2 linked regions of the Oryctolagus cuniculus genome follow. The protein of the gene in region 2 purifies or fractionates together with the protein of the main gene of each other region. This does not show direct contact. Links are inferred from orthologs where the notes say so. Each region holds a gene or a part of one and is shown on either strand. Other genes may lie near its edges. The genes, in order: PRKACB and AKAP5.

The links.
Region 1: the proteins of AKAP5 (region 2) and PRKACB purify together in Homo sapiens (affinity purification with mass spectrometry; 4 studies listed by BioGRID and IntAct, counting the BioPlex papers as one, with this or other methods). This does not show direct contact. The link is inferred for Oryctolagus cuniculus from reciprocal best matches to the Homo sapiens genes AKAP5 and PRKACB.

Annotation. Positions count from the first base shown.
Region 1 is NC_091438.1:87,045,599-87,049,412, reverse strand, and holds part of PRKACB (cAMP-dependent protein kinase catalytic subunit beta), read left to right. Parts: intron 1-921; coding exon 922-1,086; intron 1,087-3,534; coding exon 3,535-3,660; 3' UTR 3,661-3,814. UniProt on the Homo sapiens protein: Mediates cAMP-dependent signaling triggered by receptor binding to GPCRs.
Region 2 is NC_091451.1:5,986,662-5,991,187, forward strand, and holds the start of AKAP5 (A-kinase anchor protein 5), read right to left. Parts: upstream 3,073-4,526; 5' UTR 2,887-3,072; intron 1,471-2,886; exon of another isoform or gene 1,321-1,470; intron 1-1,320. UniProt on the Homo sapiens protein: Multivalent scaffold protein that anchors the cAMP-dependent protein kinase/PKA to cytoskeletal and/or organelle-associated proteins, targeting the signal carried by cAMP to specific intracellular effectors.

The sequences.
Region 1 (3,814 bases), on a different chromosome or scaffold from region 2:
TCTCATAATTTTTATACTATTGCATAATAGCAGAGTTATACTTAAAAACCATCTATAATAAATGAAAAATAGTTCCCTGTGCTTTGAAAGAGTGTGGGTTTTTACAAACATTTTTAGACTTCTTTTTTGGTAGATCTCTTCAAAATGTACATGCTGATTTGTTTCATATGCTGCTTGCTCTATTTGTATAGAACAAGTTTCAGTTCTCACATCTCTGAGACAAGGGAGCTCTCTCTTGACAATGGGTGAACATACTGATATTGTTGGAAAAGTTCTAAATATGTGCACATTTTCCTGGAGACTGCTCCATGTTCTAAAAGGGAATTTATGACCAAAACAAGACACTAAGGGAACAGTTTTAGTTCATTCACACAAATAATTCTCTACTTTAAGACTACTGTAGGGTGTGTCAATTGTTAAATCAACAACAGGAGTCACTGTGCACTTGCTCCCCATGTAGGACCTCTGTCCTTAATGTGTTGTACTATGAGAATTAACAGTAAAACTAGTCTTCAAACAGTACTATATACTTTGTGTGTCTGTGTGGGTGCAAACTGTTGAAATCTTTACTTAGTATAGAGTTGATCTTCTGTATATATAGATAATTAAAAATGAATCTTAATGAAGAATGGGATGGGAGAGGGAGTAGGAGATGGGATTGTTTGGGGGTGGGAGGGAAGGTATGGGGAGAAGAACTGCTATAATCCAAAAGTTATACTTAGGAAATTTATATTTATTAAATAAAAGCTTTCTATAAAAAAGACTACTATAGGGACTGTGACTTTTACTTAAAAGCATTTGAAGTTGTCATTAAACAATTTTGTTAATATAATGCCCTGCTACCTTTAAAAAATGTGAAATCAAAATAGAAATATCATGAGTTTTGGAATTTGTGTTTTATCATTTGACGTGTTTGTGTAGGTCCGATTCCCATCCCACTTCAGTTCAGATCTCAAAGATCTTCTAAGGAACCTACTGCAAGTGGATTTGACGAAACGATTTGGAAATCTAAAGAATGGTGTGAGTGACATAAAAACTCACAAATGGTTTGCCACAACAGATTGGATTGCTATTTACCAGAGGAAGGTAAGACTTTTTAAAAGTTGGTGTTTAATTATATGTAGAAGTATTTTCAACTTCACATATTAGAGTGAGAAAATGTTAATATTCTAGCTGAGTATCAAAAGCACATTTTTTGTATCTTCGTAATTGATACTTTTATAAAAGATTGAAAAAACAAAGCAGTAAAAGAATTTTAAGTGCAACATACAGAAGAAATAACAAGACCTAAACAATGTAAATGCAGTACAACCTCTATTTCTCAAAAAAGTAGTTCACTCTCCAACCATTCAGGAAACATATCTGTTAACATTGTTATTACAAATGGATATGCTATGTAGTCAAGAACAGGGTCCATAGTAATTTAAAATAATCTTTAGTTGTCATAAAAAGAATTTCATATTTTTGTATTTTTTCTATAATTGTTAGCATCAATGCAATACTTTATAATGACTGAAAGCGACTGCCTTTAACTTTTCATATTAATCCTTAAAGTATTCTTTGAAATGGGTGGTACCATTTTCTTCATTTTACTAATCAGAAAATCAACTCAGAAAGGTTACTTAATGTAAAAATCTTATAACTACTGAATGATGCCTATCTTTGATCTTGCTTTCTTCAGATTCCTATTCCCAGAGCCACATTACCCATTTAAAGTCCTTTTAACATGATCAAATGATGCTCCAAACCACTGCACAATACATTGTTTCATAAAATTTTCATATCATCTGCTTGACTTCCACATATTGACCCTTGAGGGTAGGAAGACTCTTTCTCAAAAGGCTGTTAAAAAAGAGCATAAACTCTGAGGTTCAGTCCCAGATCAACCAAGCATTATTGTTATAATCTTAAACAAATAATTTAACTTCTGTAAAGCATCAATTTAATCACCTTTAAGATGGAAGAGTAGTTTGGGGAAGAAAGATCAGACAGATTAGCCAAGCTCCCTTTGAGTTCTGGTTGAGATATGCTTCATTATAGTTCAAATTAGATAATTTGTTTAATAACAGCAAAATCTTGATTAACAAAATAGACGCTAGGATCCCTGGGTGATTTACAAATAGAAATAATCCAGTACTTTAATTTGGCCATTTGTTTTAATATCTTCTCAACTATAAGAATGCACAGCAGTGCAAAAAATAAAAAGATAGTAAATTTGAATGGTTGTCATGGTTTTTATTTTGTGATCCAGTGTTCATGAATGTGAAATAGCCAAATGAATCTAGGAGAACGATGATAAAGAGAGAGAGAGAAAGAAAGAAAGAAATGGCCTAGATGACTCAAACTGTACAGTCACTCTCTAGAGATGATTGCCCAAAAGTAGAATCCTAAATTGTTGTCTGGCTAGACATGAGGCAACTGTCTGTTTAACTCATTCTTCTAGAACAAAACAGCAGTCCCCAAAGCAATGGGTGCAAGATAATCAGCTGAAAAATAAAGATACTTGAATTTCCATTCCAATTTATTTTCACTTTATTCTTTTAAAATGTCATATTTCTGTGTTTATCTTATATTATATGGTCAACCATGTGAATAATGTATAAATAAATAACTATACAAATATTGATAATGTGTGCTAGGAACTATTTTACTGAAAGAGATAGAAATCAAAAAGATTTGGAAACCACTGACATACGTAATAGAAAGAGCTCTGATCCAGAAGTAGAAAATTATGAGTTTGAGACTTGCTTTAGCCTCCTACTAGTCATGTGATTTTGGCCAACTCTGTTTTATGATTTTTACAAATAAGAATAAAATATACCTGCTCTGCCTTCTTCATAATGTGGTACTGAAGAAGAAATGAAAAAATTGTATGTGTAATTGTAAATTCAGTAAGGATTGTGAAAATTGTGTTATTATGTTTGTAGCTTTTAAATAGTTTCCTCAAATGTTTTCATTATACCACATAATCTTTGTGAAAGACCATACTCTGAATGGTGGAAAGACAGTTTACTTTCAGGATCTGAAAGGAGAAAAACATTTAAGATTTAGCAGTTCTATAATTCCAAAAGAGATACATTTCTTTCCAACTTATGACAGTTGCACATTTATGTAGACAGATAATTAAAATAAACTTGGAAATTAAAAAAGGAAGGCAATTAAAAGAAAGTCTAAGATTTATCTGTCAGCTTCAGAAGAAAGGAATATAAAAGTGAGGATAGAAAAATAAAGTCTTTGAACATAAATAATAAAGGAAAAAACTGGAATTCTGTAATCTTAGGAGCCTACATTTTGATGCCAACAATTAATTATCCTAGGAATGTCTCAATGTTGTTATATTCCTTGAATGAAAATGATGAGTTAAACAGCAAATCTACTGTTTGCTCCTTCTTCTGATGCCAATATATTTTAGGGATTTAACGGCATTCAAAGATGCCACCAGTTATTAAGAGTGGAAATTTATTTTCCTTAGTGTTTACAAACTCTCAGGAATTTAGTTTTCCTCTTATTTTCCTCTCTATCCCAATTATGTAGGTTGAAGCTCCATTCATACCAAAGTTCAGAGGCTCTGGAGATACCAGCAACTTTGATGACTATGAAGAAGAAGATATCCGTGTCTCTATAACAGAAAAATGTGCGAAAGAATTTTGTGAATTTTAGAGAGGGATAACAAGAGGCGATCAGAGCTCACACTCAATCTTTGCACTCTGGTGAGAGACAAGGTGGAGCTGAGACCCTCCTTGTTGAAGCAGTTACCTAGTTCCTTCATTCCAGCGACTGAGTGAGGTCTTTATTGCTGTCATCTGTGTGTGCA
Region 2 (4,526 bases):
TAAATCAGCTGTATAATTCTGGCATTTTCACTGGAGTGTCTGCTGTTCAAACTTCTCTACCATAATGTACACAGTGGAGAGTCAGTCATTGAGCGACTTTTTTTTTTTTTTTTTTTTTTTTGAAGATTGATTGGTTTACTTGAGAGGCAGAGTTACAGAGAGAACGGTAGAAACAGATCTGCCATCCACTGGGACCAGGCTGAAGCCAGGAGCCAGGAGCTTCCTCCAGATCTCCCATGTGGATGCAGGGGCCCAAGCACTCGGGCCATCTTCCTCCTTCTTAGGCACATCAGCAGGGAGCAGGATCAGAAGTGGAACAGCAGGGACTCAAGCCAGCGCCTGCAGGGGATGCCAGTGTCGTAGTCGGCAGCTTAACCTGCTATGCCACAGTGCCAGCCTTGTAATTGAGCAACTTTTGCATCTTAGGCTGTGCTAAGCATCATAGTTACTTCTCTAATCTCTACTATAATGTAAGAGGGCTTCAAATCAAAAGATTGGTTTAGGAGCTGGGGCTTGGCCTAGTGGTTAGGACACCATTCGGGATAACCATGTGGGCTGGAAGACCAGCTTCGTGGCTCCTGTCTCCAGCTTCCTGCTCATGTGCACCCTGGGAAGCTGCAGTGGTGGTTCAAGTGTTTGCCACCCACACAGGAGACCTGGATTGCATTCCCAAATCTCAGCTTCAATGGACCCAGTCCTGGCCGTTGCAGACTTTTTGGAAGTGAGCCAACAGATGGAAGTTCATGCCTTCTTTCTCTGTGTCTCTGCTTCATAAATCATTTTTTAAAAAAGATAAGTTTGGGGCTGGCGTTGTGGTGCAGTGGATTAAACCTCTGGCTGCAATGCTGGCATTCCATGTGGGTACCAGTTCCAGCCCTGGCTGCTCCACTTCCAATCCAGTTCCCTGCTCATGCACCTGGGAAAGCAGTGGAGAATAACTCAACTCCTTGGGCCTCTGCCACCCACATGGGAGACCCGGAAGCTCCTGGCTCCTGGCTTCAACCTGGCCCAGCCCAGCCATTGCAGTCATTTAGGAAATGAATCAGCAGATGGAAAAAAATCTCTCTCACTCTGCAACTCTGCATTTCAAACACATAACATTTTAAAGAAATAAGTAAAAAATTAAAAGTTTGGTGCAAAAAATTGAAATCCACAAATATAGAAGAGATCTTCACAAACTTCATGGAAATGAAAATGACAAAATGATGCATGAATTTCAAGGTTTTTTTTTTTTTTTTGGTGTACAAATAAACATCTTTTCATTGCATTTTCCATAGTTTCTGAAGTCTCCTCGTACTACAGAGTGGATGGCGTTCTCACCATGCACAGATGAAGCAGTGGCCCCACACTTCCCAGCACAGTGGTAACAGAGCTCAGATTCAGTCCAGATCTGCCTGCTCCTGAAGCCTGGTGCTCTGAGGTGGTGCTCTGTGAGTTTCACCAGAAAACCAACTGTCTGGAGTGGCTAATCTGCAACAGAACCATTCATGTAGATTCTTGAACAGTGTTTAACGGCCATTTTATTAACCGTAACGCAGCCCATCAGCTCAGCCTCGAACCAAGGCTAGACCGAATTCTTGCTATTCTGAAGCCAAACTTTTGAAATCCTTTATATTTTACTGTCTTGGTCAACTAAGTAAAAAAAAAAAAAAAAAAAAAAAAAGCCTAAGATAAACGGACAAGCTATGCAATCAGCAAATAGATTAGTTTCATGTACACATAAAGGTGCATTTGAAAAGGAACCCACAGAATGCTACCCAGGCACCCAAGAAAGAAGGAGTGAGGCCTTGAAAAAAAGTCATATGACCTAAAATAAGCTAAGAGACTCTTTCCTCAGACTGTTTTTATGCAAATCCCTCACGTGTGTCTCATTTAGGAAGCCCTTAATTCTATGAACTTGAGAAAGAACTGGAACGCTGAACATCCGTTTACAACCTAAGCAAATATTCCCTTAGGTTGCATCCTTCATACCTCTAACAGAAAGAATCCTTCTAGAACCACGATGGAATTCAAATCTAAACGTCTCCCGGTGCCCCTCTCACCTAATGCCGCGGTAAGCGCTGGACTCTGAGCTGGTTAGAACTCTAAGCCGTCTCACCTCTGGCGGGTTCTCAGCCCCTGGGCCTTTTTATTAAGGAGACGGTGTTATTCCTGATCGAAATACTGAAGTCAGATCATGTTCAGGAATGTGTCATCTGCAACTAACCTGGATTTCTCAAAGACAATTTCTTCGAGACGCTCGGGTGAATGCATATCACACTGCAGAAATAAAACAGCCACACACACACACTCTGACGGGGTGGGGGGTGGTGGGTGGGGGGGCTCAATCTGCAGACAGGAGACCTCTGCAGGTGACTCGCCCTGGAGCCTCCGGAGACCCTGCTGTCGTCGCCGCAGAAAGCAGAGCACCCACGACCCCGCAGCAGCCAGGGCCCTCGACGCTTCCTCCTGCAGGGAGTCAATCTCTCCTCTGGCACGATACAGAGAGCCCAGGATAAAGTCCTCAAAAAAGGAAAATGCCGGGGGCGTGAACAGAGAACCCAGCTTCGAGCTCGCTGCAAAACGGTAATGGCCAGGAACCCATCACCACATTTTACCTCCCCCCGCCCCACCAAAAAAAAAAAAAAAAAAAAAAAGACGGTAAGGAAGGAAAAAGCTACCGGGCAGCCCCGGCTTCCAGGTCGCGCTGCAACGCCAAGCGGGAGGGTGGGCAGCGTGGGCAGGGGCGGCCCTGGCTGCAGATTCCTGCTGACCAACGAGCGCCCGCCACCTCGGGGCGCTCCGCAGCCCGCGCCCGCCGCCCACCTCCCGCCCACCCCGCCGGCCAGCCCGGCCACCCTCCCGGACACTGCCCCGGAGCCTCCTCCCCGCCCTGCCTCCACTTACCCCGAGCGCAGCGGTCCCCGGCCAGCCTCGTTCCCGGGGTCGGGGGCGCGCCCCGGCAGTCGGCGAGCTACAGTCGCACCCGCAGCCAGCAGCCCTCTGCAGCGCAGGGACCGCGGCCCCGCAGCGCCCCCTCCCCAGCAGCGCGGGGACAGGCAGGCAGCGGCGCCAACGCGCTCGGAGCGGGCGGGGGGCGGCGCCGGGGCGGGGCTCGGGGCCCCGCCTGCGAGCCGTGGGCCCCGCCACGTGCGCCGGCCGCGCAGCGGTCCCCCGCAGCGGGTCCCCCCATTGGACCCCCGCAGCGGATCCCCGCGGGGCGAAGGCGGGAGAACATAGGGGAGAGCGAGCGAGCCCGAAGATGCGGGGGAGACGGGGCAAGCAGCAGTCAAACCCGGTCTTAAAAATTGCTCTTCCCACATTGCAACCCCCCTCCGCCCCAAGCTTGAACGTGAAGGGCAGCTATCACATTTCCAGAAGCAGAACTGAAAACCCTGCGCAGAGCAGTGAGGTGTCTGCTGGAGAGAAAATGACAGTTCCCAGGCCGCTGCGAGAAGTTCGTGGAGGGGCGGCGGTTGTGCCCCTTGGGTTAAGCTGCCCTGGGCCTCGCTGTTGGAATCTGGGCTCCTCCGCTTGCCATGCAGCTTCCCGCCAACGCACACCTGGGAGGCGGCAGGTAATGGCCCAGGGGCTTGGGGCCCTGCCACCCAGGTGGGAGACCCCATGGCGTTCTGGGGTCCTGGCTTGGGCCCTGGCTGTTGTGGGTAGCTGGGGAATGAACAGGTGCATGGAATATCGCCCCCACACCCGCCCCGTCATTCTACTTCCCAAGTAGGTGAAAAATAAACATTAAAAAAAAGTAACGGGAAAAATGGAACTGAAAGAGAAGTGTATTTTGGTGCAAACGCTTTCAAGCCACGCATAATTTTCTCATAACATACGTTTTCCATGAACTCGCTGAAGACCCCCTTGTATGTGTGCGGTTTTTGAAGATTTTGGCACCAAAATAAACATCGTTAAATTCCTTTTGCCTGTGAAGATTCTGAAGCGCCTTCCTATGAAGGGAAACTGGCGTGGGTTTGGGAGGAAGGAGGTTAGCGCGGTCCCTTGCCGAATGGGCGCTCAGACCTCTGCTTCCTGTTTGGAAGCCTGCCGAGGGAGCAGGGAGCACGGTCCGGGTCTCGCGCGGGCGGCAGGGACTCAGGCACTGAGCCGTCCTCTGGGGCCTCACAGGGTGTGCTGTGTCAGAGCGGGAGTCGGAGCAGAGAGCAGAGCGCAGTGCTCCCGTGCGGACACGGACAACTCGACCAGGGGGCGCAGAGGCTGCTCCCTATCTTTTATACATTGCTTATTCCCCCAAATCAGCTGAGATGCTTACACGTTACCCACGTCGCCCTTCACACACCCCTAGATCCTGCTTAACCTTGCCCCTCTGGATCGACAGAGGGTGGGCAACAGGAGAGGACATTGTACAGCACCAGTCCTCATCACGGCCAAGTGCACGGCCGTGCCCTGCAGGTGCTACCGTTGGCATGGGCTAGGCTCTACATTTGCATGGGGTTCCTGAACCTTTAAGCAATGCACTAGTCTGAATGAGAAGTACCCCGAAGATGTATCTGTACACATAAAGCATTTGTGTGGGTGGT